Linked DNA regions of Xenopus tropicalis. The protein of the gene in region 2 interacts with the protein of the main gene of each other region in a biochemical or structural test. Links are inferred from orthologs where the notes say so. Each region holds a gene or a part of one and is shown on either strand. Other genes may lie near its edges. The genes, in order: ap2b1 and clint1.

Evidence for each region.
Region 1: the proteins of clint1 (region 2) and ap2b1 form a complex in vitro, tested with the Homo sapiens proteins (2 studies listed by BioGRID and IntAct, with this or other methods). The link is inferred for Xenopus tropicalis from reciprocal best matches to the Homo sapiens genes CLINT1 and AP2B1.

Annotation. Positions count from the first base shown.
Region 1 is NC_030678.2:93,543,656-93,547,479, reverse strand, and holds part of ap2b1 (AP-2 complex subunit beta), read right to left. Parts: intron 3,482-3,824; coding exon 3,316-3,481; intron 1,298-3,315; coding exon 1,199-1,297; intron 1-1,198. UniProt on the Homo sapiens protein: Component of the adaptor protein complex 2 (AP-2). Adaptor protein complexes function in protein transport via transport vesicles in different membrane traffic pathways.
Region 2 is NC_030679.2:13,974,367-13,978,190, forward strand, and holds part of clint1 (clathrin interactor 1), read left to right. Parts: intron 1-1,546; coding exon 1,547-1,724; intron 1,725-1,966; coding exon 1,967-2,210; intron 2,211-2,519; coding exon 2,520-2,580; intron 2,581-2,773; coding exon 2,774-2,857; intron 2,858-3,754; coding exon 3,755-3,824. UniProt on the Homo sapiens protein: Binds to membranes enriched in phosphatidylinositol 4,5-bisphosphate (PtdIns(4,5)P2). May have a role in transport via clathrin-coated vesicles from the trans-Golgi network to endosomes. Stimulates clathrin assembly.

The DNA.
Region 1 (3,824 bases), on a different chromosome or scaffold from region 2:
ATTCTTCAACCCTTAAATATAACCATGACATTTGAAAGTATACATTATAGTCCTCAGGAAGCTAGCACTGAGCTTTGTGAATGGATTTTTTTCATAAATAATAATAAAAAACAGCACTTCTAGGAATACTTAAACACAATCTGCTTTGTTCTGAATATGTCACTGTCTAGCCTCTGACAATAGACTTATTCTATGTTCTGTTACTGACAACAGATTAAAGTGACCCAGTTGTAGAAAATTCTTGATAGTGTCTCAAAAGCCCCAAATTCAAAGTAAAGAAAAACACTAAAATGGTTTTGTGAAACACAGTGGGACTCATTTATTAACACTGGACAAATGTGCACCTGGACAGTAACCCATAGCAAAACCAATGTTTCCATCTAGTGGCAAGTTAAACAATGAAAGCAAACATTTGATTGGTTGGCATGGATTTTTGCCCAGCTTGGTAAATGAGTCCTAGTGTGATTTTTAGAATAAAAAGTACTAATAAACAAATCCACACACAGGCACACAGAAAGGGTGCCCATTATAGCCATTGCTATTTTCCCCTGCAGTAGAACCTTAGTAGAACTAACAGACATGTGTCTGACAGAGCAAATTTTGCTGCAGAGACGGCAAAGTATCTATTTTTGTGCACGCTGTGTGTGTGTGCCTGACAGGCTGATTCTGTACAAGCAGACGAATCGCCCAAAGTTCAGCGAGTAAAAGATGTTCTAGCAAACTTCCTTTGGAAGAAACTTCTAATTAGGTATTGTGTCTATATCTCCAATTAATTTACAACTGTGTACAAAGTTGATTATCGCAAGACTGTTGCCAAACTAAAAAAGGATGGGTCAAAATAATCTATTTCATGGTTTGGGAGAATACATTAGATTATATTAGATTCAACTTTATTGTCATTACAGGGAGAGGTTGATATCACTCCAACTTGCAGCTCAGCAGCAAAGTGTGACTGAAGTCAGAGCACAGGTCACATATCTGGGACCCTGGAAAATGAAGAATATGGCTAGCACCATGTGAAATTTTAAATATAAAAAAAATCAGTTTCTGAAAAACGAATTTAAATGCAGGATTCTGCTGGAGAAGTTGGATAATACAAGAGACTAGAAAGCCTACTGGAAGCAGTATGAAGCAGATATTTTTTTAAAAAAAGGGCTAACAACTATATTCCTATTTTCCAATGTTAACTTATCAATACCTGTGTAGCCAGGCTGAGAACTTGTTGAACCAGCTCTTGGGTTTCTGATGGCTTCTTCAGAAAGAGTTTGACAATAGCCGTAAGTAGAGTAAGTTGAACCTAAAAGCCAAAGAAGGAAAACATATAAATGAGAATAAACATGAGTACAGTTTTTGAACATCTATATTTTAAATACAGGTATGGGATCCCTAACCTGGAAATGTGTTATCCAGAAAGCTCCAAATTACGGGAAGGCCACCGCCAATAGACTCCATTTTAATCAAATAATTACAATTTTTAAAAATGATTTCCTTTTTCTCTGTAATAATAAAACAATTCCTTGTTCTAAACTAAGATGTGATTAATCCTCGATAGAAGCAAAACAATCCTACTGGGTTTATTTAACCCTTACATCTTTTAAAAGATGCTAACAGTACTAGAAGCCATTTATCAATACTGGGCAAATTTGCACGTTTGAGTTACCCATACCAACCAATCAGTGATTAACCAATGTTGACAAATGACCCCCAGTGTGTTGACTTTTTAAGAAGAAAATTCCTGTGCACCAAAATGCTGAGGAGCGATTTTAGTTTAAACTTCAGCACCTAAAACCAATACTGATCCTTATGACAAACATGAAATTAATTTACCCCAATGACATGCAGTAAATAGTGCATACTTCATAACAACCCTATAGAGGTATTCAGGCCCTACTGTAAGTACAGTTTAGCACCCAATCCAAATGTTTTTTTTTTTTTTTTTTTTACACCAAAGTTATATGAACCATATGTTATCCTTCATAGGAAAGGAATCATTGCATTAATACAGTACAGTTCAAAACTGTTAGAGATCTCTTATTAAATTGCCTCTGCATAGCTTATTACCACTTAATAAATCACATCTTCATTTCCATGACTGCTTGAACAATCATGTCAATTGCGTTCTAATGATGAAGCAGAAAGGGCTGACTAATAAATCTCTGTTATGATCTGCTTCACTAACTTACAGTTAAATTACTCCCACGACAAGCCATAATCCTTTTCTTGCACACAATCTAATCTGAAACAATTGTATTATTGTGCATTGCATTTGGAAGATGTACAGGCATTTAATAAAACCTATTCTGAAAGTACCTCCAGCACTGATCATTAACCATCCTCTTGTTTAAAAGCTTATGGCACATATGGGATTTTCTCTGCATGGCATTTTGACGATTCAGTGCCCCTTTACCCCTTATGTGTGTGAATAGCAAGGATTCTGACTGTTACTGCACACAGAACAGACCTTGGGCACAATATGCACACATGAGCATTTTCTAGCTGAAAACTTCTGTATGTACATTGGCAGTGCACACACATACTGGGCAGAGGGCCATAAGGACTTTTTCTCCACTGGTGTAAAGAACACTGACTCCCTCCACATCTGTGCACACTGACAGGACTAGAAACTGAATATGACCAAAGAGCATATTTTACATGTGCCATAGGCCTAAAAATGATAACATTTTAATGGGAACTATATGACAGCTTTGGTAATGGTGGTTTTCAGCCAAAAAGCACTTTAGGGGCCATTTAAGGGCTGAAAACGCCACTACAACAGTGTCATGTTTGCCATAGTACTTTTCCTCATGTTTCTTTTAAAAGTAAGTTTGTTGTTAAATCCTACTGGGCTGAGTAGCAACAGAAACAAAGATCGTTAGGGGTCATTTATCAACACTGGGCAAATTTGCCCATTGGCAGTAACCCATGGCAACCAATCAAAATGTTGGGTTCATTGTTTTACCTGCAGCTGGCTAAAAAAAAAGCCAATCGCTGACTGGTTGCTAAAGGTTACTGCCCCCAGCCAAATCTGCCCAGTGTTAATAAATATGCCCCAGTAACCCAACCGTATCTCACCTGTTACCGATATAATAAACTTAGAGGGGGAAAAAAGCAAACAACTGAACTTTTAATTTTTTATTTGGCAAATCTAAAGATCATGGATTTAGTGATAAAAATGCAATAGTAATAATTAGATGCCTGAGTTAAAATTGTCTTGAACCATAGCATCTACAGTATTACCCTCCATAGAAGCAGTCTCACCTTAGAAAAATCATATTTGGCCACTAGGGCTTTAAATGGCCAGCCCCCAAAAATTACCTGTGTACTCTCATCGTGAAATCCCTCCAAGAAGCTCTCCAGTAGTTCATCAGCATTGTCAATACGTTCTGCATATTCACCAACAATCCAGATCATGGCACCACGGGCATCTGGCTCATCCAAGGAATCCAGATTCTCACACAGTGTGGCAATTATACTTTCATACCTGGGAAAAACATAGATAAGGTAGCATTTCAAGGTCCTTAATTTTAAGGAAATTTTTAAGGAAGGTTCTTAATTTCAGTGGAAGTCATTTGTAAAAAGGGAAACACTTTAAGCAAACCCCAGCACCCATATTATGGAATGTTGTAACTGCACACTTTTAGGTACATAAGTAATGTACCTGGCAGTGCTTGAAATGCTAATATCAGCAAAACAGTTTTATAAAATCAATTAGAAAATACTGATGGGCAAACCTTTCACTTAATGTCAATTAAAATCCTTGTGGGTCATCTGAAGATAATGTCAGCAACATTTACTGACACTGTTTATTGAGCATGTTCAATTGT
Region 2 (3,824 bases):
CCACCCTTTAGTATTCCTAGTGTGTAGGTTCTTGAAAAGGAACACACAGTGGGCCTTTACAGACATCATTATTTTTGGCTGTCACTGTACCACTTCATCTAAAGCCTATACCTCTACATGCATAAATCTGGCATTGCCTCTGTCAGGAATGTCCTGCTGGGTGCCTGCATTCCTATGCGGCCTTTAATCCCACTGTGTTAAATGGAAATACACAGACATCTTTTCTTTGCGCTGGTACTGAGTATTTGCATCACAGCCTTCTAAAACAGTGATCCCCAACCAGTGGCTCAGGAGCAACAAGTTGCTCACCAACCCCTTGGCTGTTACTCCCAGTGGCCTCAAAGCAGATGCTTACTTTTGAATTCCTGGCTTGGAGGTATGTTTTGTTTGCTCAGAAACCAGGTGTGCTGTCAACAGAGCTTCCTCTAGGCTGCCAGTCCACACAGGCTACCAAATAGCGAATCACAGCCCTTATGTGGCACCCCCGGGAACTTTTTTTTATGCTTGTGTTGCTCCCCAGTTTGAATGTGTCTCACAGGTAAAAAAGGTTGGAAAACCCTGTTCTAAAACAAGCCAGCTTTTGTCCAACCCCTCCCAAAATAAATGGTAGTTGCCAAAGAGTAGGAAGGAAACTTGCCGTGCCCCTATTTATGAAGAAGCCATAGAAATTTGTACTTTAATGGATGATGCAGCCAGTTAGATTATACTTGGCAGGCCTCTCTGGGCCCTACATCTCTCCTTGCAGTGTGGTCCTTGTTAGCTTCTGCTATCTCGCTCTGCTGCTTCTGACCTCCTCGCTGCCTGTGCAGTATGGACACGGGTTACTGCATCTGCACCTTATTGTGCTGCTTCCTGCTTTGTTGATATTTTTGGATTTACGTGTGTGTCTTGATGTTTGCTTGAATTTGGGCAACCTGTAATTATGGACTTGTGCCTTAATGGCCTCTGTGATTCAGTTATTCTATTCATTATCTCTTTTCTGCCCATAGGCTCTGCAGTACTCTGCAGGCTATTTATATACATTAATAATCTCAGCTTTCATTTTTTTCCTAGTGCTTTTCTTCCATCCCTTTCTGTCTTCCACCGTCCCCTACCTTGTCCTTTCTTTCTTCCACCCCATTCCTGCTCCAACTTCTGCTTCTTTTATTTCTTTATAACTTTCTTGCTTCCTTCTCTTACTTTCTTCCATTTATTTTTATTTTTCCTCTTCTTATTCCTTCCCTTCTTACTTTCCTTCATCACCTTTCTTTCCGCCATCGCATTCCTTCCTTCTTTCTTCTCTTTCTGTTCTTCTCCTTCCTTTCCTTCATCTTTTTTGACCTTGCATTCTTTTATCCCTCCATTCCTTCATCACTTCCTTATTTCCTTCCTTCCCTCCATTCCTCACTTCCCTGCCCTTCCCTGTTCTTATCTGGTGATATCTTTAGTCCTCCACTGAGGCAGTATGATTTCTAGCACCTGACTATTTTACACTCTTACAAGTCTTTCCCTTTGTAGAAATGAAATTGTGTCTGTGCTTGATGTCTTCTTTGTGTCCATGCTGCAGATGATCACTATGACTCTGAGCCCAAATCTAAGTGGGACGAGGACTGGGACAAAAGTAAGACAGGTTTTCCATTCAGCGACAAGCTGGGCGAAATAGGTGACAAAATTGGAAGCACCATAGATGACACTATTAACAAGTTCAGAAGGAAAGACAGGGAAGATTCCCCAGAGAGAGGAAGGTAAGTGACCGGATCTTATGCAAGGCTACATGTGCAAGGGCCAGATTGTATTAAACAGTGATGTCCTACACTGAAGTGTGTGAAGCCTTTGAGGTGGCTTTGGGCGCAAAATAATTCTTTGGAAGACCACATGTGATCCTCTCCAAGGCGACCTCTAGTTATGAATTATGAGTGCTAAAGAGGATTTGGCTTCATGTCTAAGAGAGGTGTTAAGAATTCTCCTATGACTTCTTATATCTTAGTGACAGCGAAGAAGAAAGAAAACAGAACCGAGCAAAAAAATCTGGAGAGTTTAAAGATGAGGAGGAAACAGTCACCACCAAACACATCCACATCACTCAGGCTACAGAGACCACCACTACTCGCCACAAACGTTCAGCCAACCCCTCCAAGACTATTGACTTGGGTGCTGCTGCTCACTATACCGGAGACCAAGAAAGTCCTGAGCTTACCTCCTCAAACCAGAATCAAGCGTCCACCATCAAGGTGACTTGCTTAAATTGCAAGACCTCAGTGCAGGCTTATATAGCACACACCCTTCAATGCATTATGGTGGCTTTTGCAAAGCGATATATATTTATGGGAGGGGCCTTTTCATACCTGTGTAAATAAGGAGTTTTTACTAATTGCTTTTTTAGAAGTCTGTTTGGTAGGTCTTAAAAACCCTGAAGCTCCACATGTCATTCTGTTAGCATCTTCTCTATTCTCTCTCAGCCCTGTCCCCTTTGATAAAGTTTTATTGTATTGGGGACACAAAAGAGGAAATTTTTACCTATCTCATTTCTCTTTTTGTAGCCTACCAGCAAATCTTCAAACGATCTTGTCGATCTTTTGTTCAACTCAGGACAGAAATCAGGTAATGTTGTTACAAGGGGATGTTTCGGGGTTTTTTGTTTTTTTTAACAAAGGGCACAACATTCTCTCTGGGTTAAGTGCAGTACAGGAAGAATATAAGGTCATTCTGCGTACTTGGATATGGGCCCCTTGAATGTAGATGTATGTTTGGTGTGTTTATGATGCTCCACTGCTAATGCTAATTATTTACCAAGGTTCCACAGGTTCTGATCCATTCGGTGAGTTTGCAGATTTTACCTCTCCAGCTGCTGTATCATCTACGGTTCCATCATCACAAGGTAATTTTACTTTGATAACCGTGAAGCTGGAGTGGGACATGTTTATTCAATACAAATCCTGCACCTTCTTCAGTCCATTGTATGCACGTGTCAATGAGTGTCCCCCTTTTCCAGCAAATGACAGCACACCTCCAAATTATTTGCATATGGTGGAGCAAAACATAAGTGTTTCCAGTAGCATGTTTAATATTGCTGGTTTTGTGCTGTGATAGAATTGAGCAGAGAAATGCCAGGAGACACTTCTGCATCAGTTACTTAAAGGGGTGGTTCACCTTTACGTTAACGTTTTGTGTGTTATAGAATGCCCTGTTCCTTGCAACTTTCCATTATTTATTTATTTTTTTAATCATTTTTTAAATTTGCCTTCCTCTTCTGTCTCTATCCAACTTTTAAGTGGGGGGTCATAGCAGCCAAAAACTATTTCTCTGTAAGGCTACAGTTTTATTTTTAGTGTTACTTTTTATTCCATATCATTCAATGCAGGTCCTTTCCTATTCATATTCTTTTCTCTTGCTCACACCACTACCTCGTTGCTGGGGTAAATAAGACCCTGGCAACTAGATAGCTGCTGAAATGCCAAACTGGAAAAAACAGCTTACACAAGCTAAATAACTGCAGAACCATACAGAATAAAAAACTAACTGCAAATAGCCTAAGTCAATGTCACCATCATACTAAAAGGTAATTTAAAGATGAAACTACCTCTTTAACATTCTTTCTGCCAAGACAGAAAGGGGGTACTCTTATTACTCATTCATATTAGAAGTATAAAAACTCAAAGTCATGAATTCTAATAAATTATTAATTTAAAATGCAAATGTGCTCAGAAGTGACAAGCTAAGTACTATGTAAGTGTAGGACTGCTCATGTTTACATTGCTTATCCCATTATCCTCAGGTCCAGCATCGGGCAGTAATGGAGAATTTGGAGACTGGGGTGCTTTTAGCCAACCAACACCGGTTCCTAC